Linked DNA regions of Mus musculus. The protein of the gene in region 6 purifies or fractionates together with the protein of the main gene of each other region. This does not show direct contact. Links are inferred from orthologs where the notes say so. Each region holds a gene or a part of one and is shown on either strand. Other genes may lie near its edges.

Evidence for each region.
Region 1: the proteins of Hdac1 (region 6) and Zfp516 purify together in Homo sapiens (co-immunoprecipitation; 5 studies listed by BioGRID and IntAct, counting the BioPlex papers as one, with this or other methods). This does not show direct contact. The link is inferred for Mus musculus from reciprocal best matches to the Homo sapiens genes HDAC1 and ZNF516.
Region 2: the proteins of Hdac1 (region 6) and Nfkb1 purify together in Homo sapiens (affinity purification with western blotting; 3 studies listed by BioGRID and IntAct, with this or other methods). This does not show direct contact. The link is inferred for Mus musculus from reciprocal best matches to the Homo sapiens genes HDAC1 and NFKB1.
Region 3: the proteins of Hdac1 (region 6) and Brms1 purify together in Homo sapiens (affinity purification with mass spectrometry; 7 studies listed by BioGRID and IntAct, counting the BioPlex papers as one, with this or other methods). This does not show direct contact. The link is inferred for Mus musculus from reciprocal best matches to the Homo sapiens genes HDAC1 and BRMS1.
Region 4: the proteins of Hdac1 (region 6) and Smarca2 purify together in Homo sapiens (affinity purification with western blotting; 4 studies listed by BioGRID and IntAct, with this or other methods). This does not show direct contact. The link is inferred for Mus musculus from reciprocal best matches to the Homo sapiens genes HDAC1 and SMARCA2.
Region 5: the proteins of Hdac1 (region 6) and 4921524J17Rik purify together in Homo sapiens (co-immunoprecipitation; 4 studies listed by BioGRID and IntAct, counting the BioPlex papers as one, with this or other methods). This does not show direct contact. The link is inferred for Mus musculus from reciprocal best matches to the Homo sapiens genes HDAC1 and C16orf87.
Region 7: the proteins of Hdac1 (region 6) and Kpna4 purify together in Homo sapiens (affinity purification with mass spectrometry; 3 studies listed by BioGRID and IntAct, with this or other methods). This does not show direct contact. The link is inferred for Mus musculus from reciprocal best matches to the Homo sapiens genes HDAC1 and KPNA4.

The regions. Positions count from the first base shown.
Region 1 is NC_000084.6:82,955,677-82,959,427, reverse strand, and holds part of Zfp516 (zinc finger protein 516), read right to left. Parts: 5' UTR 3,750-3,751; coding exon 1,979-3,749; intron 1-1,978. UniProt on the Homo sapiens protein: Transcriptional regulator that binds to the promoter and activates the transcription of genes promoting brown adipose tissue (BAT) differentiation.
Region 2 is NC_000069.6:135,615,009-135,618,759, forward strand, and holds part of Nfkb1 (nuclear factor NF-kappa-B p105 subunit), read right to left. Parts: intron 423-3,751; coding exon 264-422; intron 1-263.
Region 3 is NC_000085.6:5,039,945-5,044,212, reverse strand, and holds the start of Brms1 (breast cancer metastasis-suppressor 1 homolog), read right to left. Parts: upstream 2,851-4,268; 5' UTR 2,723-2,850; exon of another isoform or gene 2,602-2,722; intron 1-2,601. Other genes in the region: B4gat1 (beta-1,4-glucuronyltransferase 1), read right to left, coding at 3,715-3,906, 4,181-4,268. UniProt on the Homo sapiens protein: Transcriptional repressor. Down-regulates transcription activation by NF-kappa-B by promoting the deacetylation of RELA at 'Lys-310'. Promotes HDAC1 binding to promoter regions.
Region 4 is NC_000085.6:26,603,771-26,607,972, reverse strand, and holds the start of Smarca2 (probable global transcription activator SNF2L2), read right to left. Parts: upstream 2,814-4,202; 5' UTR 2,740-2,813; intron 2,725-2,739; exon of another isoform or gene 1,924-2,724; intron 1,823-1,923; exon of another isoform or gene 1,463-1,822; intron 1,400-1,462; exon of another isoform or gene 918-1,399; intron 832-917; exon of another isoform or gene 430-831; intron 1-429. UniProt on the Homo sapiens protein: ATPase involved in transcriptional activation and repression of select genes by chromatin remodeling (alteration of DNA-nucleosome topology).
Region 5 is NC_000074.6:85,408,630-85,412,380, forward strand, and holds the end of 4921524J17Rik (UPF0547 protein C16orf87 homolog), read right to left. Parts: intron 3,667-3,751; coding exon 3,484-3,666; intron 1,262-3,483; coding exon 1,143-1,261; 3' UTR 130-1,142; downstream 1-129.
Region 6 is NC_000070.6:129,539,618-129,543,806, forward strand, and holds the start of Hdac1 (histone deacetylase 1), read right to left. Parts: upstream 3,030-4,189; 5' UTR 3,013-3,029; coding exon 2,964-3,012; intron 1-2,963. UniProt on the Homo sapiens protein: Histone deacetylase that catalyzes the deacetylation of lysine residues on the N-terminal part of the core histones (H2A, H2B, H3 and H4).
Region 7 is NC_000069.6:69,088,902-69,092,652, reverse strand, and holds part of Kpna4 (importin subunit alpha-3), read left to right. Parts: intron 1-2,575; coding exon 2,576-2,745; intron 2,746-2,832; coding exon 2,833-2,877; intron 2,878-3,751. UniProt on the Homo sapiens protein: Functions in nuclear protein import as an adapter protein for nuclear receptor KPNB1. Binds specifically and directly to substrates containing either a simple or bipartite NLS motif.

The DNA.
Region 1 (3,751 bases), on a different chromosome or scaffold from region 6:
GGTAGCACACTATGCAAATCTAATGTCAGACTCACTTGGGCCCCTAGCAAGGAAAGGCGGCACCTGTTTCCTCTTCCTTGCTGCAGACACAAGAGCTCTGCAGTGGGCTCCTCTGCCTGTAAGCACCCCACCTCAAGTAAAAGCAACAGCCCCCAACAGCTGCTAGACAAGGAAGCATGCTGGCCACGTGCAGCCACGGTTCACACCTCAGCACTGCCTTTCCTCGCGGCAACTGCCCATGGCAAAATAACAAAGGCAATGCTCAAGGTTTATTATTTTTAAAATGGGGAAACCATGAAACGCCAAGCCAGGGTTCTGGAAACATTCTCATGGCTGCTGTTTGGAAAGAAATCTGCTCCAACTAACAGTCTCTCAGCCCGAAGGGTTATCTGAATCTGAAGAGATTAGTTATAACTACACAGAGATTCTAAGTTAGCCTTCATCCAGATGTCTGGCAGTGAGAGTGGAGAGGAATGCGTGTGTGCATTAGCATGTATTTTGTGTGTGTGTGTGTGTGAATGTGTGTACACCTGTGTATGTGTGTGCAAGAACAAGCACGTGACATGTATTCAGTACATGCTAAATATGTGGGCAGGTATGATTGTATATCAGTAAGTGTTCTATGTTTATAACCTCTACATGTGTGTATTTATGCATGTGTTGCAATATGTACACGTTTATGTATTCATATGTGTGTGTACTTATCTGTGTGTAAGCAAGTATACATGTTTATTTTTGGTGTCCATTTAGGCTTCCTTGCATGTGTGATCACATCCATGTTTGTGTATATGCATATTTTTTATATATGCATGTGTCTGGGGTGTCTATGTGTAGTATTTATATGCCTGTGTGATGTGTGCATATTCATGCTTATGTATGTTTGTGCGTGTACGCATATGTGGTTGTGCAGAGTAAGTGTGTATTTTGGGGTGTATGGTATGTCTGAATATGTGATGTGTACATATGTGCATGTACCCATTGCATATTTGTGTATGTGCACGTGTGTTTGTGTATGTGTGTTTGCAGTATCTGTCCCAGTCGCTGTTCTGTTGCCGTGGAGAGGCCCCGTGACCACAGCAACTCTTATAGAAGAAAGCATTTAACTGAAGCTTGCTTACAGTGTCAGAGATTTCACCCATTACCATCACGGTGGGGAGCTTGGTGACATGCAGGAAGGCCCTGGAGCTGCGAGCGCCACATCCTGATCCCCAGGCAGGAGAGCAGAAAGGAAAGAGTGCCGGGGTCCCGTGACATGCTCCCTCCAACAAGGCCACACCCACTCCAATAGTTTATACCTTTTAATCCTTCTAATCCTTTCAAACACTGCCACAGCTGATGATTTCAAACACATGAGCCTATGGGGCCATTCTTTCAAACCACCATACTATCTATGGTCCATTTCCACAAACATGTTTGTCATATGTGTATGTGATGTGCACATGTGTGCATGTGTATGTGCATGTCTGTGTATGTGAATGTGTGACTGTACATGTGCAAGTATGTGTATGGTTTTAGTGTTTTGGTGTTTATATGTGGTATCGTTTGTGTGTATTCTAAGCATGCACACGTGTGTGTATATTTGTGTCACACATAGAGAACAAAAGGACATTTCAGAGGAACTTACTCCTTACTTATAGAATACAGACACCCAGATGAGACCCTAGACTTAAGAAGCCAAAAGTGTTCATTAATTCATTAATTAATTAATTAACTCAGCATCTGTATGTGAGTAGCAGAAAAGAGAGAGAGGAGGAACTGACAGCATCAGTCAGACCAGCAGAGCCTCCAGAACCCAGAAGGTGCAGGATACCCAGTGCACAGCCTCAAAGCCAGAGCCAGAAACAGGGCACAAGGTCACCAAAACATAGGAGCACCTGCGGACACAGTCCCTCCACCAAGACTGCTTGAGTACAGGGCCAGCCGGGCAAAGGGCTACACGGGGTACTTGAACCTCATCCGCCCAGGTACGCCTGCTCACCTGATGCGGGTTCAGGCACAGCCTCTTCACCACTGTCATCCACCACTTCCTCAGCCAGGCCAGGGGAGTCAGCAATGGCGCAGGCTGAGCCAGGGCTGCTTGGCTGGGAAGCCGAGTCACCCTCGCTGAGTGAACCGCAACGGGCACGCGCTGCTCTGTCCCCTTCAGGATCCCTGTCACGGCGTGCACGGCGGTGCACGCGGGAGTGGAGCACCATCTGGTGGTAGGTGCGGAAGATCTTGCCGCACTCGAAGCACTCAGAGGACTTGCCCTGGCCAGTGGTGGCCGAGGCCCTGCGGTTGGGGCGTGAGGTTGGCCGGGGATCAAGGTGGCCAGAAAGCATGGGGTCCCCAGGTACACTGGCCCTCTTCCTCGGGGGAGCTTGGGTAGCCGGAGCATCCTGTTCACGCTTGCGTTTTTCCTGGCTCACCAGTATATACTCACGCTTGTCTTTGTCAAAGGCTACATCCCCTGCCAGCGCCTCGTCCCAGGTCCCGTACTTGAGGTACTCGGCCGGCTCAGCCACCTTACCCCTGGTAGCTAGCTGCCAGGCCTGATAGCTGTTGACGGGGTCCAATTCAGCCACCCGCCGTCCAGCCTGCCCACCGGGGGACACATCACCAGCCACATATGGTGTCAGATTCAGGCACTGTAAGAAGAACTGCTTAGTGTCCAGGGGGTCCTCTGAGTCCCCCTCCTCAGCCGGGGCTCGAATCCGGCTGGCTTCAACTTTACGGTGTATGGCGTTATGGGCGTTCAAGCTGTCCAGGTTTGTAAACAGGTTCCCGCACTTTGTGCAGACCTCATAGAGGGACAGGCCAGCGACAATGACTTCCTCCTGCACCACATTGTTGATGGTGGCAATGGGATCCAGCTCACTCTTGGGTCTGTTCTTGCTTCCTGCCTTGGGTCCATGCGCCTTCATATGGTTCTTGAGGAACCAAGGCTCTTTGAATCTCCGGCCGCAGATGTGGCAGCCGTGGTCAAAGGAGCCCCGGTGTTTCTTCATGTGTGCCTTCAGGAACCAGGTCTGGCTGAAGGCCTGGCCACACACCTCGCAGGGAAACTCCCCAGGGCTCAGCTCAGGTTTGCCGTTCTCCACACAGGCCTCGCTGCCATTGGGCACCTGTGCGGTGATGTGGTCCCTCTCTATGTGGCTGAGCAGAGACTCCTCCCGCAGGGTGACATAGCTGCACAGCCTGCACTTGAACGGCTTGTGGGCCTGGTGCACATGCAGCTCCAGGTCCTTCTTGCGCTCGAACCGGCTCTTACAGAAGGAGCACGGCACCGTGGCCTCAGTGTCTTCCTGGGCGCTGGCCGCACCCTCCACCTCCTTGCGGCTGCTCCTGAGCAGAATCTTGCTGCCGTCCATCGGCACGGCCCCGTTCAGCACGCGGTTACAGGCAGAGGTGCTCTTAGTAGGGCTGGCACACCCATCCAGGCCCTCAGAGACACGCATCTCACCCAGCTGAGCCTCTCCCGCCTCTGGCTCGTGCCCCTGAATCAGAGTTCCTGTCCGGTGGCTGCGGATATGAATCTTGAGGTTGCCCTTCTGGGAAGCCCTGTGATCACAGTAGGGACACTTGTAGGGCTTCTCTCCCGTGTGCTTGCGCATGTGCTGTGACAGGGAGCTCTGGAAAGGAAAGCTCTTGCCACAGATGCAGCAGCTGTGGCAGGCAGCCTTGTCCCCATCCACTTCGTGGCTCCTGCCAGCCCTGGGTGGGCTGGGTCCTCTCCTCAGCTCCATCTCAGCCTCTCTGCTGCGATCCATCA
Region 2 (3,751 bases), on a different chromosome or scaffold from region 6:
GTAAGAAACTGGTGTTACATGTAAGGAATATAATGCACTCTCTGAGGAAGACGTGTTACCTTGGCAGACATGTTCTTAAGACGCTTAACTGGATATTGACCCTTTACCCTAGACTGCAGTATTAACTTTGTAGACAATAAACTAGAGGCTCTATGTGACTAGGTCCCAGTCTGCAGGCCTCAGCTCTGGGGAGTAAGTGACATAGTGGCCCTGCCCTCCATGCAGCTAGATGAAACTGTCCCATCTTGGGAACGAGTACTCACTGCTATCATAGATGGCGTCTGACACCACAGGCTCCAGTCTCCGAGTGAAGCTGCCAGTGCTGTCAGGGAGGAAGGCTGTGAACATGAGGCGCACCACGCTCAGGTCCATCTCCTTGGTCTGCTGCACGGCTGCCTGGCGGATGATCTCCTTCTCTCTGTCTAGGGTCACAGAGAACAGTCTGCTCATGCCCAGGCAGGTCAGAGTGTGAACATTTGACAGCAAATGGCCTCAAAGACCAATTCTTTTCCTCTAGAAACACTTCCTTAAAGTCTTTCTTGGCATATACTCAGTGCTCATCGGGATAACTCCCTGAAAACATTTTCATCCTAGAACAAGCACTGTGACCGTACCTAAGGCCCCTTCTCCCCTCCTCATATCCACTCGTCCCCTCCCTACCAACGGAGTACCTTCCTCTTACTTTCATATCCTATGCACGCATATGCAAAATATCTTATGTACATCTATATAAAACCTAGGATCTAGAACCGAGAGAGACGGTAGGTGATGTTCATCTTCTTTGTTCTGGCTTATTTCTCTTGATACAGAGATCTCCAGTTGCATACACTGCCCTGCAAATGTTTCTTTTCTTTTTCTTCCCTTCTTTTTTAAAAATAAAGATTTATTTTTATTTTATGTATGTGAGTAGACTATAGCTGTCTTCAGACACAAGAGAAGAGGGTATCGAGTTCCATGACAGATGGTTGTGAGCCACCATGTGGTTGCTGGGATTTGAACTCAGGACCTCTGGAAGAGCAGTCAGTGCTCTTAACTGCTGAGGCATCTCTCCAGCCCTTCTTTCTTTTTTCTTTTTTTTTTTTAATGGCTGAAAAAAAACTCCATTACTCATGTATATCATGCTTTCTTAATCCATCATCTGCTAATGGAGAGCTACGGTGGTTGTTTGATGTAGCTCTTGAATATGGCTGAAATAAACACATATGTGCAGGGAAATATGTATGTTATAGTACGTGGAGTTAGAGTTTTGTAAATATCCGCAGGAGTGGATAGCTGTGTCTATGCAGTTTTACTTCATGTTATTCTAAATCTCCATTTTGATTTTCTTATTTACATTCTTGCATTTGTTGGTCATAACACACGTGTGTTTAGGGTAGAGGACCACCTGAGGGGAGGGGTTCTCTCCTTCTACCATGTGGGTCCTGGAGACTGAATTCAGGGCAGCAGGCTTTGTATGGGTTACCTGCTAAGACATCTGCTACACACATCTGGGGACGACCTTGAACTCATCTGGGAGTGCAGCCGTTTGTAGGGAGTGCTGGGAATCAAACCCAGGACTTCTTACACAAGAGGTAAGTACTGTACCACCTGAGCTACTTGGCAGGCTCCTGGACTTGTTTTCTTAATGACTTCTGACCAGGGTGAGGTGGGACCTCAGAGGAACTTTAAAGACTAAGGGTGTGAAGCATGCTTTCACATTTGTTGGCTGTTTGCACTCATTGTTGGAGAACCCTCTCTTTCTTCTGAGCGCATTTATTTACTGGGTTGTTTGTTTCCAGAATTTAATTTTTTTTGAGTTTTTATAGAACCTAGATACTAATCTGTCAGCTACATAGCTAGCAACAATTCTTTCCCCCACTGAAGGCTGTCGTCTCTTCAACTCAGGAAACTGTTTCCTCTGCTGTGACGCCTTTGAATCTCAGTTGCTAGTTCTCCATTTTATTTCCTGAGTTGCTGGAGCCCTTTTCGGAAAGGGCTTGCCTACATCACGAAGCGTTTTCTGCATGTTTTCCTTTAGCTGTTTCAGACCATTACCTTTTCCATTAAGATCTCTGCTCCGTGTTGAATTGGTTGGTAGGGTAGGAGCCTGGGATCTGGTTCCCTTCCTTATATGTGCTAGCCGGTTCCCCACCGGCATCACTTCTTCTCCAGCCCGTCTTTTCTCTAATGCACATTTTGGCATCTTTCTCGGGTATCAGGTGGCTACATTGTGTTCCTTTCTGACTCTCCTCTTCTGCTGATTTACACGTCTGTTTTGACCCCACTTCCATGCTTTTTTTGTTACCATGGCTCTGTAGTGTGACCTGGAATCAGCAGCTATGATACCTCTGATATCAGCAGCTGTGATACCTCTGAAATATTCTTACTATCCTATAGCTTTGGCTACCTGAGACCTTTTGTCGTCCCAAGTGAACTTTATTTTCTAGGAGGAACGGTATTGGCATTGTGGATTGCATTCAATCTACAGACCACACTTGGCCATATTTTTGTGGTAGTAACTCTGTTAACTCCCAGGAACATGGGAGGCCTTTCCATCATTGATTGACATCTCTTTCTTCTTCCGTGTCTTAACATGTTCACTGTAAAGGACTTTTCACATGGTTAGTTTATTGCCAGGAGTTTTATTTGCTCATGTTGAAGCTATCGGGGATGCCTGTGACTGTGCTCGGCCGTCGCGTTTGCTGACTTCTTTCTCGACACACTCACTATCGATATAGGAAAACCACGGGGTCTGTGTGGTGATGACGCAGGCTGATCCTCAATCAGAGCTAAGCCTCTCCAGTGCAGCCCTGGGCTCTTGTGTGTGGGACAATATTGTCTGTGGATAGGGCTCTTTCATCTCTTCCTTTCCCGTTTGTATATTTTTCATTTCATTCTATTATTTTATTGGGAATGTATGAATCGGCTTATCCTTTCCTTCCTTTTCTCTTTTCTTTTCTTTTCTTTTCTTTTCTTTTCTTTTCTCTTCTTTTCTTTTCTTTTCTTCTTTTACCTGGTTTGGGTATAAAAGTAATGCTGGCTTTGGAAAATAAGTTTGTTGATATTCTTCCCCTTTCTACTTTATGGAACAGTTTAAGGAGGATTTACGTTATCTCTTCAAATATCTGACAGAATTCAGCCATGATTCCATTTAGGACCGGGTATTTTTCAGTTGGGAGATATTTTATTGCTTGTCTTAGGTCTGTGTAAGTTGTTTCTATCTTCTTAGTTTAACACTGGCAGGTCAGATGTACCTGTGAACTTACCCGTTTCTGTGAGATATTCTAATTTACTGTAATACATATTTTCAAAGCCCTAATGATTCTTTGGATTTGACCATTACCTCTGATAATGTTTCCCTGATTTTCACCTTTAATTTTAATAACTGAGTCTTCTTTTTTCTTTTGGTTACTTTGGCCTGAAATTCTTTAAACTGTTAGTAAAATTTTACACAATGGTCTTATTAAATTGCCTAAAAACCCATCAAAGGTAAGCTGCGTTTTCTCTGGAGTATTGTAAATATTGTCTTCTCCCATGCTCACCCATCTACTCTCCTACGCTTGCTAAGAGATAAGGCACACATAGAATGCGAGGAGTACAGGGAAATGCACGTCTCTGCACCGCCGGCTGCGCAGACATAGGTGAGAACAAGCATGCAGAGTCTTTGTGTGTGGGCTCCGCTTCTCCACGGTGCCCAGCACAGAAAGGAAAGACCGGGCTGCACTGATCCCCTTCCCTCTGATAGCCTGGCACGCTGATGGCTGCAGTCATC
Region 3 (4,268 bases), on a different chromosome or scaffold from region 6:
GGCCCTGACTCAGGTTTTTATTTTGTTTTGGTGAAGGACTAAGGATTGAACTCAGATTCCCATAAATGCTGAGCCCCAACTACCACTGAGCAATATCCTAAGCCCCTAGCACTCCTAAGGACGTGAACAGGAAGCACCTTCCTCTGTGGAAGTTCAGATGCGGAAGCTCAGGGTTTTCCTGAGGAAAAACAGGAGGGGCTGGAGAGGCGGCTCAGCAGGTAAGAGGACACTGACTGCTCTTCCGGAGGCCCTGAGTTCAATTCCCAGCAATCACATGGTAGCTCACAACCATCTGTAATGGGATCCAATGCCCTCTTCTGGTGTGTCTGAAGACAGCTACAGTGTTCTCATTTACATAAAATAAACAAATCTTTTAAAAAAAGGAAAAGAAGGCCGGGCGTGGTGGCGCACGCCTTTAATCCCAGCACAGGCAGAGGCAGGCGGATTTCTGAGTTCGAGGTGTTTCTAGAATTCAATTCTAGGTCTCAATTCCCAGTACTGGAGAGAAAAAAAAAACTAAAAAGCAGAGAGAGCCTGATGAGGTTCATATACATAATCCACACGCTGACGCAGGAGGCCATTCTGGGTTAGACAGCGAAGCTCTGTCTTAAAAAGACACAAAAGCAGTATGTCTGGGGGTACAGGTCAGTGGTAGATTGCTGTCTGAAGAGGCACCTAGACTAGATCTCTCTGGAAAAAACAAACACAAATAAAAAAATAAAGCCAAGTGAGGTGGTACAGGCCTGTTATCTTAGCATTCAGGAGGCAGGGGGATTACTACAAATTCAAGCCCAGCCTGATATACAGTTAGTTTCAGGCTAGCAATAGCTGGTGAGGCTGTGTCAAATCCAAATGAGTAGGTAAAAGAATGAATGCAGAAATATGAAACAGCCCCGTTTAGTTAATTTTCTGTAGTTCTCTGGGCCTTGCGCACACTTGCTATTCTGACTTTCACCTCCTCCTCTTTCAGTGTTTGGATACCCAGCACTCACACTAAAACCACTGCGGCAGAATTACGAATCAATTTCCTTGTAGCAAACACCAACATTTGCCAGTGCTTGCCTTAGGTAACCTTTCAGAAACAGTGAACACTAAGCCCCTCCCCTACCTTTCTTCCTACTTATCCAGTATTTACTAAGCACCTAAAGTGTGCCAGGCACCAACAGTCACCGTGGACTGTGGCAGATGCTACAGTATAGCTATGACAGCCTTTGGCCTCGAGGAAATGACAAATTTCTGGGAGAAACGCAAAGAAGCAGACCTTTATAATGGTGTGAAGAGAGTCAAATTAAGGTGTTATGGGAGGTGTCTACACAGGAGCTGGAGCTTGCTGCTACAGTGACAGCTTCCAGAGGGAGACAGACTAGGTGAGGACCAGGCCGCCTGAGATGGAACATTCCAGGCAGAGTGAAAAACAAGTACAAAGACCTAGAAGTGAGAAAAGGGACCAGGGACACAGGCATGTGAACTTCCACTAGACCCAGGCTCCTCTAGCTACATACGGCAAGTTATTTAGGCTTTGTGCAGTCTGACTTTTCAGGCGGAACTGTGAGAAGGGGCCTCTGTTGGAATTCCCAAGGTCAACAAAGGAGGCAGGAGGAGAAACCTCTGCAGAACAGATTGAAAATCCAAGAGTTAGGGTGGAAGGTATTTTCAGAAGGAAGGAGACAACGAGAGATTGATACTGCCAGGCCCCCAGAGAGAATAGGTCATCTTGGATGTAGATGCTTCTAGTTCACACTGGTGTGATTTCTACATCTCTGGTTGCTGCTCTGTAAGTCTTTCCCATGGGGAAGGCATAACTCCTTCCCCCAGGAAGTTTTTTTTTGTTTTGTTTTTTTCGAGACAGGGTTTCTCTGTGTAGCCCTGGCTGTCCTGGAACTCACTCTGTAGACCAGGCTGGCCTCGAACTCAGAAATCTGCCTGCCTCTGCCTCCCTAGTGCTGGGATTAAAGGTTTCTTTGTTTTTTATCTCATATTCTCCCAGTCTCATGTCCGACCACCCAGTGAAATGTGGGTGTTTCATCAGGACAGGGCAGCAGGCTGTCCTACTCGCCCAGTGCAGTGCCAGCTCACTTGATGACTGGGAATTTCTAAACCCAAATTAAACAACATAAACTTTTGCAGTATAGAAACTGGCTTTTCCTTCTTGGCAACCCTACTTGGAGTAACGCTCCTTCACACCCATGCAAGTAATTATAGCGCCGGACCTGCAGGAGAGTTTAGTAGCATTTCCTCCTGCTCTGAAAATCCAGATCTCCAAAACAGCCTCACTGTTCCCCTTTTCACGCCTCAGACCCTCCACACTGGCAATTCCTTTTCACCGTTGTATATACTCTTTCTAAGACGCAGGATGAATTCAAGGATCTCCTTCCTCCAGCTGACTCTGATCCTGACTTCGTTAAATGAAGTCACAACCAATCGTCCCTCCTTAACCCGGGTACAAATAGGGGATATACCATTGCTGAGGGTTGTAGGGAGTGGAAGAGGCACACGGTAAACGCGCGGTGTATAAGCACCTCCACAGCAAACCTCCAGGGAAAGCAGACCCCTCCCTACAGACACAGAGGACAAACTCTGCGGCGCAAGGAACTATCCCACCTCGATCCACCCTCGGAACCGCGGGCTCCTCTCAGGCCAGCGCGCGAGTCGGGCCGGTTAAGTCTCTGCTTTAGCTCCGATCCGGAAAGCCCAACCCAGCGCCGGGCGTGGCCATACGCACCGCAGACACTGGGGCCTCCGGCCTCACGTCCAGGACTCCCGGAGAGCTGTCCGACCCAGGGTGTGAACGCCGCCGCCGTTGATCTCCGGAACAGTGCTGCGCAGGATTCTCTTTCTCCAGGAGGTGTCGACGCTTCCGTGTGCGTCATCAGGAGGCGCCCATTTGTGGCGCTTACAATGGAACCACTGGTGTCCAGGCATGCCGGGATACGGCGGACGGGTCTCCATAGCAACTGGCCCCCAGTAACCCAGGCCTTCAGCCTGTCCTAGCATTGTGGTCGGTGTCCTTGGGTCCACCGCCGTCTAACACGGTGCTCCGGCCCACCACCCCTCGGCTTAGGAGAGTAACAGAGCCAGCTGTGGGTGTGACATTCGTTTATTTACATAATGTCATCCGAAGGCAAATGAGCAGCCCAACCTACTGGAGGGCACAGATCTGGGACTTTAACCTTTATCTCTTTCCTCCTTCAGGGATCTCGGAGGGCGGAGGGCGAAGGCATGAGAGAACGGGAAACGTTCTTAGCACTACATTCTACGTTTTCATCTTTCTTTCCAAAAGCCTCATTTTATTAAACACTCAAGCTTCCCACCTCTAGCCCATTCAAACTTTTTGCTCTGCCGCTATCCACCCAACATGGTTAATAGTAACAATATCATAATAACACTGTAGCAATATTAATAATACTTCACATTTGTACGAAGTTTACAGGATGTTTACACATACAGCGTCTCATCTGAGCCAACAGTTCTGTGAGGTAGGTATTTTCACCTCCCTTTTTACAGACGGCGTAACGGAGGCTCAGAGAAGTAATAGTATTTGCTCAAGGCCACACAGCTAGTTAGTGGTAAAGCTGAGACTTGACTCCCAGCACCCCATAGTCAAGTCCAGTGTTCCAAACCCATAGCTACCTCTGTAAAGTGGAGGCATGTTTCTTACCCCAGTCAGGCCTGGAGCCAGATACTGACAATTCTCAGACCATGGAAGACAAGGACTCAGCATCGGTGGGGAGAGTTGGGGTACCTAGCCTTCAACTCCTGTTTGAACTGGCGGTAAAGGATCTTATTGCGCTGGTTTTCAGCCTCCTTTTGGGGATGGAACTTCAATGCCTCCTTGAATCCCTTATGAACCAGAAAACCTTCGTTCAGCACCTCAAAATTAAACCCTGCCACGTGCAGCTCACAAGCCTGGAAAAGGGGCGGGGGGGGGGGAGGGAGAGATAGAGGAGGGGAGAGGGAAGAGAGGGAGAGAGACAGGGAGAGGTCACAGTGATTTAATCACAATAACTTAATGATATCCCCAGGGCCCACATGATCATCCCTAAAGTTCCACTCCACTGTCCTCAATTCTCCATCATCCAACCACTTTCTTCTTGCTTCACTGCCTCCTTTCCACCAATGGCCACTTCACCCCTGACACGCCTCCAGTCTTAGTCCTACATGCCCTCTCCCTTTTAAGTACCTGGCTGATTCGATTGAAACCATACTGCCGAAAGCGTTCGTCAAATGTGGGCACCTTTCCTCCAGCCACATAAAATGGTTCCCAGGGG
Region 4 (4,202 bases), on a different chromosome or scaffold from region 6:
ACACTGAATGAGGAATGATTCTGCACTACGCCCTCGCTCTCTCCCCTCCTACACCATCCTCCTTCGCTTTAAACACCCCCAAGGGCCCCCGCGAGAGAGTGGACCGCTTGGGGTGTTTATTTTCTTCGTGGAGTAAATCCTGCGAGAGTTGGAAGCACATTTAGGCCCGAAGTTTGAACGTGCAACAGCCGCAGGGCACAGCGACTCACTCTCTCCGGACCTGGAGCAGAAAGAACTGACCACGCCAGCCACCCGCGAGGCCTCCATCTCCCCCGCGCAGTGCCTCCCGCTGGAAAGTTTTCCCTGCAATCGATTGCCTGCCTGACTTTGCACGGAAGGCGAGCCAAAGATGGGAGGGGGGTCGGCAGAGAAAGACCTAGAAAGCTCAGCGGGCGGCGGCGGCGACAGCGGGAGGAGCCGGCTCCTTACCTGGGCGACGCTGAACGGCCAGGGCTCTCGAGCTGGCGCCGCCCGGGGCTGCGAGGGAGCGGTGTGCACAGCGCGGCTTAGGCCGGCGCCCGCGGCCCGGCCCCCGCCACCTCCTCTTCCTCCCTCGCGCGCGTCATGTCACGGCGATCAAACACGTCTGTGCGCTTCGCCGCGGTGACTTCCTGATTCTCCGCCGCTCGCGCGCGCCACGCACTCGCCCTCGCCGCCGCACGCACCGCCACCGCCTCCCGCCGCCAGACCCAGCCGGCTCTGCGTCCGGCTCCCGGGAGTGCTCCGGCTAGAGACGCAGCCCGCGCAGCTCGCCACTCACTGGTCCCTAGCGCACTGCACACTCACGCCAGCCCGCCGCCCCCTCCAGCCCCTCCATCCGACTTGCAGCACTGCCAAACTTTTTTTTTCCGGGTTGATTGGTGTCCAACTTCCCTCCGCCCCCATCCCCCAGGCAGCCCTACCAGCCCGGCGCTCACCACTATCCGCAGCGAATAGCAACCGGTATAAAAAAATAATAATGTAATCCAGGCCGCAGGGGTGAATGCAGACACCCGCACCCGGCGATCTCCTGCAGGTACCGGAAACCAGCGTGAGCGCCCGGGCCGGAGCGCGGGTGTCCCCTAGAGTCCTCAGCGCTGCGCCCCGCCCGGAGCGGTGTCACTGCGTCCAGGCTGCGCGGCCTGGTGCGGGGCACCGGGGGGCACTGTGCTGGTGTGCGCTTGGTGGCTGGAGGGCGCCCAGGGGCTGGCGCGCTGGACCGGTGATTTGGGGAAGTACATCGCGACACCTATGCAGATGGCGTGGCCCTGTTTTGCAACGCCAATGGGAGGGGAGGCAGCCCAGCGATGGGGGAGGAGGAGGAGGCAAGGGAAGGGGTGAACTATGTTGGGATGGGAATAAAGCAAACTCGAAAGCAGGGAGCAAGAAGGAAGGGGTGAGTGTCATCGCTAGGAGGAGGCTCCCACCGGCTCTCCCCGCCTCCCTCCTTCGCCACCCCCTGTTTCCTCCCCACTGCAGCCCTTCCCCTTCCCGGGCGAACGCCGCGGCCGCTGCCCGGGTGCGTGCGGGTCCTGTTGTGACAGTCAGGCAGAGAGGATTATCCGGATCATGGCCTCCCCAGCCCTCAGCCGCCGTGGCTCTCCCGGGTCCCTGTGCGCCCCTGACACTCAGACCATCCCAGGCGCCCCGCGTCTGCAGCTTCCTCGGCGCTTGCCAAGGAAAGACACCAAGCAAAAGAAAACAAACCCAGAGAGGGGAGGGGAGGCTAACAGAGCCTAGTGGACACCTCGGACCTCTTTCCTTGGGGCTTCCTTCCACCCTCTGTAATGAGACCCGGGCTGGACACCCCGAACTTCAACATCCTAGCCCGCGCTGCCTCTAGGTACCAGACAAGAGGGTCCGCGGCGCCACGGCCATAGCCCCCGGGGCCAACCCTTTCACCTAAAGGCCTGTCACCAATCAACATTCCCTTCCCTGCCCTAGGGAACCCCGGGAGTGGAGGTGACACCTCGGAGCCCCAAGGCACCAACCCTGTGGTAGTGGCCGCCGCCCGCTCAGTGCGCCATCCCAGACTACTACCGCCAAGATCTGCTCTCGTCCCCGCAGCCGGAGCCCTTTAAACAAGTCCCCGGGAGGCGAATAGCAGCCGTGTTGGTTGGCGCCCTGCCGCCAGCCCGGGCTCCTCACCCTCCTTCCCTCCTTTCCTGTTCCCTTCCAACTCTAACGGGGAGGATGGCTCGGGGTGAACTGTCGCGTTTCCAGTCCCCCGCCTCCCAACCCCTCCGCCCCCCGGCCCGGAGTTCCCAAATCCCCCTCTCCTCTTGCCACTAGCCCTCCCCACCTCTGCTTTTTAGGGGATAGGAGGGGGGGGGGGATGCAACCTGGCGGAGAGTGTGTTGCAACCCTGAGTTGGCAGCGCATCACTGTCAACCTGCCCAGGGTCAAGGCTGTGACATGTTGGGATTTCTTCTCCTTGCCCCCTCGAAGTAGTAATTATTACTGTTATTATTAGAACGGCGAGGTTCGGTTGAAACTTTGTTTCTTTTATCGCCACCCGGGAGCTGTGGTTAGAGCATTCCACCTGAGGCCCGCGGGGAAGAGGCGGGCTTTTTTGTTGTTGTAGCGGTTGGCCCGCCTGTTTGTTTTGGTCTTCCAGCATGCACAATAAATAATGATTAGGATAAGGATGCATAATCCGGGGCGAAGGCGGCGCGGTGCCCAAGGGGTTCGGCGGCCGCTGCGGCTGCTGTAAGGCCGGAGCCGTGGAGAGAAGAGAAAGGAGTTGTAAGTTATATTTACCTTGCTCGCGAGCAGTGTGCTGGCTGAATCTTCCCTCTCTGAGTCACCCAGAGTACAGAAACAGAGGGAGCGAGGACTAGATTATGAATATGACTTCATTGATGACAGCCGTCCCCTCCTCTTCCTAAACTCGGGCTCCGCCCCGCGTCCCACCCTCGCCGCCTCCACGGGCGCCGGAAGACGCGCCGCAGTTGGCCCCGCGAGCCGCTCCTCCCTGCCCGGCCCGGCGCGGGTTGGTGGGACGCTCCTGTCACTCGCCCTGCTCAGCGACTCCGGGAGCGCGCGGGGGGAGCAGGGGGCGGTGTGCAAGAATGTGGATCTAGACAGCTCTACTGTATGCGTGGATCTGTGTGTGTCTGCGAGGCGCCGGCTCTCCGCCGTGTTTGTGCCTGGAGCAGAGAAACTGCGCAGGACAAGCAACCAGCCCGCAGCCCTGCTGGACTCGGGAGCCGCACATCCTTTAGCTGGCAGTAGCCTTCCGAGCTTCTCCGAGGAGACTGGGGGAACCCCCCGAAGCGAAGGGGAGGGCAGCCGTAGTAATCGAGCGTAGTAGTTCTGGGGAATGTGGAGACCGTGCTGGAATTTAAGTGTGCCTGCGCCTGCCAGCTCGAGCCTGCAGAGAGAAAGGGAGGGGACGGCGGGGGCAGGGCTCCGGGTGGCACCAAAGCTGTTTGTGGCAGTGTTGGCCGCGGGGGTGGGAGGGAATGGGCATTATCATACGAGCTGAAACTTTTTCGACCCCCGCCTCCTCCCCGTTTCTCTCAAGGCTGTCATAAATTTGCGTTCTTCCCACCCATCCCCAGCCCCCAGTGAAAAGGGAGGCGGCACAAAGAGCGAGCTTGCCAAATCTGTCTCATCCCTAAAGGACTGCAAGCTTCCAAATGCCAGAGAAGAGAAACAGCTGAGAGGCCGGCCGCCTAGTAAATAAATAAACCCAGATAAACCCTCCTAACCCCTCTGTTTACTTCGGAAAGGCACGAAGCACTTTCACCTCCCCTCACCTGTCGTCTTCGAATAAAATATACATAAAAATGTGGGAGGAGAGAACGACCCGCGAGGGTAGGGCGGGAGAGTCAGGGGGCAGCTGAACCATGGGATCTGCTTTTGATTTAAAAAGGGAAATAAATCTCAATCTCTACAGACCGAAGTCTCCTCTCTCTTCCACCCCACATTTAAGACCAATTAAGGCTACAAACTGCAATTTGCCTGCACGTAGTGGTTTGGAGAGCTAGTGTTTCAGTTTTCCTTGAAATACAGTATGTCTGCCGGACCCTAGGTCACTATTTGGTGAGGCGGTTTTATTTTTAGTTTTATGAAGTGTGAAAGAATGTTAGGAGATTTTAAATCAGAGGCCTATTATATTAGACTCAGATTAATGTAGGTGCTTGACTCTTAAAATTAAAACTGCTCCTATGTGGTCATGTTATGAAAAAGTATGATCTATTCCTTATTTTGCAATGTAA
Region 5 (3,751 bases), on a different chromosome or scaffold from region 6:
TATGTACTTTTTGCTTTGTTTTTGTTTTAGGAGTCAGGGTTTCTTTGTGCAGCCCTGGCTGTTCTGGGATTAAAGGAGAGTTGCTAACACATGTGAAGAGGGTTAATCACCACACTGGTATGCCAAAGGGCGAGTATAAGGAATGATGATTTAATACTGCAAAAACTGGCTGAAACACTTTACAAACTTCACTAGGACAAAAAGCTACACCACACTACTTAATCTACTCGCTTTCAATATTAAGGTTTATTTTTTTCCAGGATGAAGTAACAATTTAAATAATTACCAGAATTATGTATAAATGAACATTCAGACAAAAAAAAATCACTGTTCACAAGTAGCTAAGAAATATTTTGCAATTTATATAATAAATATATCTGTGTTTAGGTTAACAGGCACCATCTTGATAACAGAAAAGTTTTTTTTAAAAACCAATAAATAAAACATTCAAGAAAACAAGGTGTTTATATCTGAAATATGATACAGCCTCAAATGCTTTTCTTCATATAGCACCCAAATTTCCAAACTGTCTAGAAAGTTTCTGAAAATATAACTCCTACTTAAATCATTAAAATAGCGCCCAAGAAAAAGGTCAATTAAAGACAGAATTTATAATCTATATTCGTAATTCTCCATTCAATAAAATATCAATTACCAATTTATTAAAAGTCAATGGATTGTATATATGCAATCTGTTAATGGTGAAAGCCTGAAATACATACATTTAAAAGTCACTCTCCTGACAGGACTTAAGACACTGCATCTCTGGTGCGAACCTGAAAACTAGCAAGCACGTCAGCTGCTCCAGCTGTGTGTTCCACCCGTACTCCTGTCCCTCCAATCGGGAAAGACCCATCCAGGTTCCGGGGCTTTTCTGGTCATTTTGTTTGTTTGTCTTTGTAAATACATTTAGTAATATCCCAACACAAAACACTGATAATGATCCTTGGTAAACAAGGAAATCCCAGCAAAGTCTAACGCACAGCTTTGCTCCCAAAGCGTGGCAGCAGACTAGGAAACAGAGAAAGCAACCAAAGGCCCTCATTCACACAGTCTGGTGCTCCTCAGAGTCCACGACTGCCTGAGGATCTGCTGATGCAATCCTGAAGAAAGTGGCAACCAACAGAGTTTGAAGACAAATATCAGAGAATAAGTCTTTGATTGATAATTTTTCTATTTATTTCTGCCAAGGCAACTGAAAACACGAAAGCCTTCTCATCAGAGAGGTTAGCATAGATGTCGATTTCCTTTTCCTGTTTTTCTGTGGAAAGAAAAGGGGAAAAGTTAAATACCAAGGTACCATTTTTTTTAAAAGTGGAAAAAAAAATAGGATTGTACCATAACATTTCCCGAAATTCATATCAAAAGAAAAAAATTAATAATTTGGCTTCTAGGGATGTAGTTCTGTGGAATAGTTGCCTAGCATGCGTAAGGTTCATGTTCCCGAACCAAGAACTGGGGGAACAATGGCTTTCTTAGGAGACAGCGGTCGTCTGCCTTGGTCTCCCAGTGCTGGGATCAGTGGCACATAGCACTACTGTCAGCAAAAAAATATTCTTACACAGAAAATATCTGAAAAATACTCACTGACAATAAATGCTTCCCTTTTCAAGTAAGAATAAAATTCCAGCGCTGCGAACGTAAAATGCATCTATGCCCAGCAATAGCCTTTCCTTCCCCAGCTGCCAGCAGACATTTCTTTAATCTCAATTCAAAAGCACCCCCTCCCATCATTTTCCAGCCTTTATTTCAACTGAAAACCAAGTTCTATTTTCTGACTAAGTAGAACTTTTTGTTTCTTCTCTGTGGACTTTTCTTGCCAGGTTTCTGTTCCAAAACAGTCTTTCAAATAAGATTTTCTGATGACCTCATTGTTAAATAAGTGTATTTAAATTAAGTAAATGACTGGAAGAGTATAACAGGAAGAAAAAAAGTAAGATTACACAAAGAGTTGAGAATCACCTATGGGAAGCCTTTCACTCAGGTACAAACTTTACTTCTGTATTTACACAGTATCAAAACACCTTTCATTTTGGTAAAAGCTAAAGACAATATATGTCCGAGAAACCATGAGTAATTCTGTGTCTCAAATCATGCTGGGATTAAAGGTGTGTGCGCCACCACGCCCAGCTAACATTTATATTTTTATACTAAATTTTTGTATACCTAAAATTAAGTACTTAAAGCAATGCAAAATGTAACCAACAACAGTTATAAATATATTTCATTGAAAATGAAATTGTGTTGGCTGAGGGTTCTAAATAAATACAAAGAACAGCTATAATTACTAGTTTCAAATCTGTATCAATCTGTATACGTTATCGAGGCTGTGACGTCATTCTTCCTACTCTTTTTTTATGTGGCATTTTTCCATGATAAAACTTTTTAAAGATGTATCCATCACAGAAAGAGAGAAGCTGTTAAGTCTAGAACTAAGTGATGAGTGGAAACTGCTTCTCAGAAGAGAGACCTGGAAGGAGAGACAGAGTGATCAAGAACACACTAACCATGCAAAGCTAGCTGGGGAGGAAGCACTAGAACCCCCAAAGAGCAATTAAAAACTGCACACCAACATCACTTTAAAAAATATATAAAAACAGATTTCAAATCCATAGAACAGTTAGTTAAACTAACTGCTTAGACCTGCTTTAAAACAATCAAAAAACAAAAACAAAGTACAATAATTTTTACTGGTATCTGAAAGATGACTTAAATATACAATTATCAGCCCGGCGGTGGTGGCGCACACCTTTAATCCCAGCCCTTGGGAGGCACAGGCAGGCAGATTTCTGAGTTCGGGGCCAGCCTGGTCTACAAAGTGAATTCCAGGACAGTCAGGACTACACAGAGAAAGCCTGTCTCGAAAAACAAAAAAAAACAAAAACAAAAAAACAAAAAAAAAAAAACAAAAAAAACAAAAAAACAAAAAAAAAATCTTTGAACCTTTTACCACTAATTTATAACAATATGGAATTTTACCTAATGTAACCCTTTAGGTTTCCAATAAGAATCTGTGTTTTGTTTTGATTTTTAAAACTAAGAATGTATGGGCTGCGAGTGTGGGGTCAGAAGTAGACCTGTGTACTGCGCTCAAAACTCAGCACTGCAACAAAAAAAAAAGAAAAAAAAATTTTAAAGACTACTTTAATTCTTTTTTTTTAAAAAAAAAAAGATTTATTTTTATGAGAACACTGTAGCTTTCTTCAGACACACCAGAAGAAGGCATCGGATCCCATTACAAATGGTTGTGAGCCACCATGTGGTTGCTGAGAATTGAACTCAGGACCTCTGGAAGAGCAGTCAGTGCTCTTAACCACTGAGCCATCTCTCCAGTCCAAGAAAATGTTTTTAAATCAAAAATGAATCGTGATTTTTCTTTTTTTTCCGTTCAAGAGCTCAAAGCTTCCATTATACTCACTACTATTACCTACTCATTACCTTTTATCAGTTTGATATTTGAAAGGGTGCTGGGATTAACCATACCTCTCTCTTCCTCGTGTTTTTTGGCGGATGAACTTTTAGGTCGTCCTCTCCCTCGTCTGATATGATCTGAATGGCTGTTACTTCGAGATCTCTTTCTGTTTTCTAAATCTTTATTTACTGTAGAATTTATCTTCTCTCGCCTAACTCTCTCTGTTCGCCTCCTCTTGGCCTCGTGCTTGTTTTCTGTATGGATAAATAAAAGTGATTTATTTTAGGGCTTCGCAACAACAACTTGCCATGTTCTCAGTACCTTCCTTTTCCTTCCTGG
Region 6 (4,189 bases):
CAGAATACACAGAGAGAGACCCTGTCTCAAAAATAAAATTGCAAACTAGCTGGGCAGTGGTGGCCCACACCTTTAGCCCCAGCACTTGGGAGGCAGAAGCAGGTGAATTTCTGAGCTGGAGGCCAGCCTGGTCTACAGAGTGAGTTCCAGGACAGCCAGGGCTACACAGAGAAACCCTGTCTCAAAAAACCAATCAATCAAAAAATTGCAAGCTAAAGTATCCTCTTCTCTCCAATCTAGCTTCCGCCCCAATCCCTCCCAGCACTTCCCCATTAGTGCAGGCTTTAGTCCCAGCAGGAAAACTAGGTGGCAGATCTCCTTGAGTTCACAGCTGCCTCGTCTAATAGACCAGTTCTAGGACAGTCTTTTGTGTGTGTGAAGTTTTGCCTGCATGTATGTCCAAGCACCACATTCCCATCTAGCACTTGAAGCGCGAAGAGGTCACTGGATTCCTTCCAACTGGAGTTACAAGTGGCTGTGGGGGGCCCTGGGAATTGAGCGCAGCATCTCAGTAGGAAATGCTCTAAACTGGTGTGTGTGTGTGGTATGGATGTACCCGTGAGTGCAGGGCGGTGTGGAAGCCAGAAGAGGGCGCTGGGTCCCTGTAGCTGGAGTCACAGGCATCTGTGAGCCTCCCAAGGTGGATGCTAGGAACTGAGCTTTGTCCTCTGCAAGGGCTGTACACACTACCAACTACTGAGCCATCTCTCAGGGCCCTGCTTTCTCCAGTTAACAAAGCAAGGAAAACCTCTGCAAGGAAGTATTAGGGCTGGCCTTTAATCCCAGCACCTGAGAGGCAGAGAAAGGAGGATCTCTGTGAGTCCAAGAACAATCTAGTGGTCTACAGCACCAGTTTCAGGACAGCCAGGGCTATACAGAGAAATCCTGTCTTGAAGAAAAAAAGAGAGAAAAGGAGGGGAAATTATGTAATTCTATTATAATCTCAAAAAAAATTATGGGGCTGGAGAGATGGCTCACCAGTTGGGAGCACATACTGATCTTCCAGAGGTCCTGGGTTCGTTTCCCAGCAACCACATGGTGGCTCACAACCATCTGTAATGAGATCTGGTGTGTCTAAAGACATCTACAGTGTGCTCACATACATAAAATAAATAATTCTTTAAAAAAATTATGCCTATTATACTACCCAATCTTTTAGGAAGTGGAGATAAGGAGACTTTTCTCCAAGAAATGTATTATCTACAAAAAACAAGAAGAAGAAAAAAAATTCCCAGCACTTGGTGGCCAGAGGCAGACGGATTTCTAAGTTTGAGGCCAGCCTGGTCTAGAGAGTAAGTTCCAGGACAGCCAGGGCTACGCAGAGAAACTGTCTCAAAAAACCAAAACCAAACCAAACCAAACCAAACAAACAAAAAGAACCGAAACAAAAAATGAGGCTGCTAGACAGTGGTGCACCCCTTTAATACTCAGGAGGCAGAGGCAGGGGGATCTCTCTGAGTTCAGAGGCCAGCCTAGTTGGTCTACAAAGCAACTTCCAGGACAGCTAGGGCTGTTAGAGACAGACCCTGCCTTAAAAACAAAACAGAACAGAAACAAGAAGACACCAGGCTTGGTGGCTCCGTCACCCCACAGCACTGGGAAAGACTGAAACAGGAATGTGGCTAACAGTTGAAAGACAGCATAGTGAAAGAGCAATCAGGACCACTGAACCTTCTTAGTCCACTTCTTCAGAATTAAAACAGGCCAGGGTTGTGGCACATGCCTTTAATCCTAGCACTCGGGAGGGGGGTAGGATAAATCTCTTCCAGTAGGAAGCAAACCTGGTCTACAAAGTGAGTTCCAGGCTAGCCAGGGTTACACAGAGGCCATTTCCAAAAAAAAAAAAAAAGTATCAACATAGCTCTTCACCCTCTACAACTGGAGTTATAACACCCTTTTCTAATCCAGCTAAAATTACTATCTGAATTATTTTATACCGACAATTACCAAAAAATATCTGTCTTCTAAATTTCAGATCTAAACAGCCAACCGCCTACTGGCTGGCTGGCTAGATGTCCCCTGAACAACTCAACTGCTATTCCCAAAACACAAATGCTGGACCAAGTGGTGTAAGCCTGGAGTCAAGAGTAAGAAGAAGGGGCTTAATCCAAGACCAGCTGAGTTACACTGTGAGACCCTTTCTCAGATAAAGGTGCTGTCCCCTCCCCCTGCTGTTGGCTCCACTTGCCAGGGCCTGGCTTGTAACTCCAGTTCTTGGGTCCTAAGCACTGACACACAACCTGCTCCTCTCAGGTTGGGCTGAGGCTCCTGCTGTGTTCTCCTCCACCCCACATTCCCTTGTCCCAGCGCTAACACCGAAAGATACCTGTGACATTGTCTAGCTCCCCCTTCAGACGGGAACTCAACACAGGAAATGTGCCTCGATGAGCCCTCCAGCCCCAACAGAAACACAACCCAGGACAGAGTAAGATGCTCGCGCTGGCTCAATGAAAAGTCGTTTTAACAAGTTTCATGCACCTCTCTTCTTGCATCCCCGGGGAGCCCCATTTCCCAACTAGCAACTGCAGGCCCTACTCATAGACTTGGGGGATGGAGTGGGGGAGGGGATGAGTGGCCAGTCCTGCAGAACTCACCAAAAGAAAGAAAGAAAAAGAGAGAGAGTGAATGGGGACAGTGAAAAACCTTTGTATTCTCAGCAGGGGAAGATATCCAGGCAAACCGTCTCCATCATATTCCGATCCCCGCCGCCACTTAGGCTTCCCTCCAGGAATCCCACTCCAACTTCAGGTCGGATTCCCCGAGAATCTCCGCCACCGGGATTACCGCAGACTACCCCTTCCACGACCCCCACCTCATCTCCGGCCTCAGCCTCGACTTCCTCTCTCCAACCTCCTCCTTCAGCCTCGACTTTCCCTCAGCCTCCCCGGGGCTTCAGCCTCCTCCCAGCCTCCTCCCCCAGCCTTTCCCCAACGCCCGGCCCGCGCCGCCCACCCGCAGCTCACCGTCGTAGTAGTAACAGACTTTCCTCTTGGTGCCCTGAGTCTGCGCCATCTTGCTCGCCGCCCGGCCCTCCCGTCAGTCTGTCCGCCCGCCCGCCCGCGGCTCCTTACGGCGTCCGACCAGGGGGAGGGGCCGGCCTCGAAGCCCCGCCCACCCCCGGGATCACCTATAGCCGCACAGCCCGGGCCTCACTCTAACCAATCGGCATGCGCGGGGTCGGGCCCGGAACTCGGCGGGGGGCAAGGGCAGCTTAGAGAAGCCACCGCGGGCCCCCTGGGCCTGTACCAAAGTCCGGCGCGGAGGGGTGGGGGAGACCGGGGGCCGTACCATCGAGTCCCGGGAGAGGGAGTCGGCTCCGTAAACTCTGCAGCCCGCTTCACAGTTGGGAGCGTGTGCAAAGATCAGAGGCCAACTTTCTCGTTTTACCGAGAATACGCCGAGGCTTCCCGGGGAAAGATGCTTGCGCAAGGTCACGCAGCTAAAAGACTAGGTTTGGTCTGGATTAGAACTGGAGAGAGAAATGAATGGCAAGGAACAGAAAGAAAATATCCAGAGGCCTACTGTAGTGGGGCAAGACCTTTATGTGCTCATAAGTTCTGACGGACTTTTCTTTTTTAATGTCAAAGCTCGTTTTCAGTTGGGCGTGGTTGCTATGTCTTTGATCCCAGCACTCAGGAGGCAGAGTCAGGAAGATCTCTGTAATCTGAGGCCAACTTGCTCTCCGTAGTGAAAGCATGTCTCAAAAAATAACAAAACAATTTTACAGGTAAAGCTGAAGAGCTTATTCAGTGTTACAAATTAAATTCCGTCTCCAATTGTACATATTTTTTTTAAAAAAAGACAAAATCCAATATGCCCGAGCACTGTGACAAAGTAACAGAACTTGGTGTTTAGTTTTTAATTTACTGGAGGGAGTGTTGGAGGGAGTGTTCCTATGTAATGGCTCTGGGTGGGGGCGGGGCGATCCATCCAGAAAATTTGGGTCAGGCATGGTGGCAGCAACCATCTCACCTACCCAGAACTTAATTTTTCTAAACTGAAAGCCTAAGTTGTTGTTTGGGGGGGACGTGGGGGTGGGGGGGCGGGGTTGTTTCTTCGTTTGTTTTTGCTTTTTTGTTTGTTTGTTTGTTTTTCAAGATAGGGTTTCTCTGTATAGCCCTGGCTGTCCTGGAACTCACTTTGTAGACCAGGCTGGGCTCGAACTCAGACATCTGCCTGCCTCTGCCTC
Region 7 (3,751 bases), on a different chromosome or scaffold from region 6:
ATGTAGAGCAACAGTAAACAGGAGCGTGCTTGTTGCTTACATTGCCATGGTAGCTTCTTGTTGGTAGTCAGCTCTTAGTTATTTAAAGGGTTATAAAATATATACATTATTACTAACTTTCCCCATCTATGAATAACAGTAGGCAAAAATTAAAATAATTTTTCTTTTTATAGCATACTTGAGCAGTCTAAAAACCTTGTATAAGAGATTAAAATTTAGTATATAATGTATATTTCTATTGTGAATTAACAGTAAGTATCTAATAGCCTAATTCATTATTGAACATTATCATGACCTTTGCCCTTATAAATAACTGTAGGAAAAATAATTGACACAATCTCAGTATTTTGAGCATTTTTTTAGACTAGAGGCATTTTTGTTTGCTTGTGGTAATCTGGCTGCCTGAAACTCATGGTCGTCTTACCTCAGCTGGAGAATCCCCACCCCAAGTGTGGGATTGCAAGACTATATACCGCCAAGTCTGTTTACTGGAGGCTGTATTAACTCAGACTTTAAAATTCAAAGAACTAATCCCAGTACCTAGGGAGGCTGAGGCAGGAGAATTGCTGTGAGTTCAAGACTAACCTGTACTACATAGCAAGATGCTGTCTGAAAACAAACAGAAAACTAGCTAGTGGTGGTTGCAGCACTCCTTCCTTTAATTCCAGCACTCAGGAGGCAGAGGCAGAGGCAGAGGCAGGTGGATCTCTGAAAGTTTTAGGTTTACAGAGCAAGTTCCAGAACAGCCAGAGCTACACAGAGAAACCCTGTCTCAAAAAAACAAAAACAACCCCCCAACCCCCAAACCAATACTGAAATCTGGCTTGGAAATCTTGGAAATCCCTTTTTTGGTGGTTTTTTTGTTTGTTTGTTTTTTGTTTTGTTTTTTGTTTGTTTGTTTGTTTGTTTTGATGAAGGAGGATTCTGGACATTCTTTAAAAATTAAGACACTTCACTTACTTTGTATATATGTATATGTGTGTGTTTACATGTATATTACAGCATATGTGTAAAGACTAGACACTTCCACGTGTGTTCTGAGTATTGAACTCAGAGTGTTAGCAAGCACCTTTACTCACCAAGCCATCTCAACAGCCCTAAACACTCATCACAGTCTTCATTGTTCTGACATGGAGGGTATTGTTTGTTTTGTCTTGCTATGTCTCCCTGACTGACTGTAGCCCATGTTTTACTGAACTCTGAGCCCTATTCCTTCCTCGGCCTTTTGAATTTAGAGGTTATAGGTATGTGTTTCCACAGTTATTTGCATGTAAGTGTTGTTAGCATTGTTATTGCCCCTATTAATTTTTGTGAGCAGCGTACTCTGTGAACTTACTAGTGTAGAGGACACTGCTTTTAGAAGTGACGTTGCATATCTGGGTGCCTCTTGTATCAAGCATCAAAGCTTTGTATAAAGCTGTTAAAAGTTCCCAACCTTCCTAATGCTCACCGTCATGTTGTGATGACCACTGTCTTAGTTAGGGGTTTTTCTGCTGTGAACAGACACCATGACCAAGACAACTCTTAGAACAACTTTTAATTGGGGTTGGCTTACAGGTTCAGAGGTTTAGTCCAATATCAAGATAGGAACATAGTAGCATCTAGGCAGGCATGGTACAGAAGAAGCTGAGAGTTCTACATCTTCATCTCAAGGCCACTAGAAGAAGACTGGCTCCCACATGGTTAGAAGGAGAGTCTCTTTGCCCACCCCACAGTGACACACTTCTTCCAGCAAGGCCACACCTCCTAATATTGCTACTCCCTGGGCCAGAGATATTCAAACCCCAATCATAAAGTTATTTTTGTTGCTACTTCATAACTGTAATATTGCTAATGTTAAGGATTGTAAATATCTGATATGCAGGATATCTGATATGTGACATCCCCCTCCTTAAAGATTTTGTGACCCCACTGTATCAAAGAGACATTATGGTAAATTATTATAATAAAGTAGAGAACCATTATGATATTTGTTTTTGTTTTTTTATTCTCTAATTACATGTTAGAATTATATACATCACCAGATATTATAGTGCAAGAAAGTTTTTTTTTTTCCCCTGTGGATTAGTTTTGCTTCTGATAATGGGTCTCATGTATCCTGGGCTAACTTTGAACTCACTGTGTAGCTAAACTTATCTCCATACTGACTCTACCTCCAAAACATTGTGATTAGACTTGTGCCAACACACTAGACCCTATTAAATCATGATGTATAAATTCTGCATTAATTTTCTCAATAGTTATTTAGACATATTGTATTAATGTAAAAGCTTGTTATACTGAACAAAGCATTGCGGTAATGATAACATGTCTGCTCAAAGTATTTGAAATAATCTTGGGCTTCTGCATCTTAGTGACACCCTGTAAGTGAGCAGCTTATAAAGACACATATTTGTTACATTGGTTCTCTTGGCTCAAAGACCTATAATGTCTACTTGTTAAATTCCTAGTATTTTTATATAAACTAAAAAAAATCTTATTAAAATGTTAGTAGCTGCATAATTGTACCCAGTGCTTTATGTTTTCTGAAAAAGCTTAGTGTTGATTTATCTTATTTAATTAATCCTTTCTACAGGTGATGGACCTCAGTGTAGAGATTATGTGATAAGTCTTGGAGTTGTAAAACCTCTGCTTTCATTCATAAGTCCATCTATTCCTATAACATTCTTAAGAAATGTTACCTGGGTTATGGTCAATTTATGTCGCCACAAAGACCCACCACCACCAATGGAGACAATTCAGGAGGTAAATAAAAGAAAAAAATAGTTAGATACCATTTTATGTTTTTTCTTTTAATCAGTATGTTTAAGTTGTACATATTTCTCTCCTCAGATTCTTCCAGCTCTTTGTGTATTAATTCATCACACAGATGTAAATGTGAGTAAATTCTTCTCGTATATTAATAAATGTATGTATGTGTGTATGTATATCTTCTGGACTCCCACTATGATATTGGACTGAAAACAGTGTGTAATTGTATTCTGTCATACTTTACCATTTCAAGAGTTAAGGTACTTATTTGTTATGTTTCCATTTCCTCTGTTTCTGTAGCTTCAGTGAGGAGTCAAACCTGTTACAAAGATGCAGTTAGTCATCTCCTCTCATCAGGATTGATTGTTCTTGACATTTATGCTTACTCCAGCTGCCATCTGGCTTTTGAGAATATATACACATGGTTGTGTTTTTGTATTTTGAAGCATAAGTGAATATTTAGCTTAAATACTAATTCGAGCGTGCATGCGTGTGTGTGTGTGTGTGTGTGTGTGTGCGTGTGCGTGTGCGTGTGCGTGCGTGTGTGTGCGCGCGCGCACATGTGTATGTCAAACTATGAAAACCTATTGTTCCTCAGTTCCATTTTTCAGTCTTATTTCTCCAGTTATAGCAAAGTTCTTTGATTAAATACAAATTTTAGTGTTTTGTTTTTTCAAAGATTTGCAAGACATTGGAAAGTATTCTAATATCCAACAACTTTGTTTTTCTTTCCACTTGTTTCCTAACTCTTGTTTATCTGCCACAAGATGAGCTTGTGCTTCAATGTTTACTTTTAATAGGTCTTGAATATTTTTTTGTTTGAATTTTTCTTTTAAGGACTATCTTCCACAAATACTATATCATTTACTAAATAATATTTGCTATATGTTATATTAGTTAGAAATTCACTCTTAAATCAGCCCTCAAAGACTTAAAAGGAGAAATTACATTGTAGTTATATGTAGTTACAAATATGTAAGAATTCTAATTGGATTTGAAG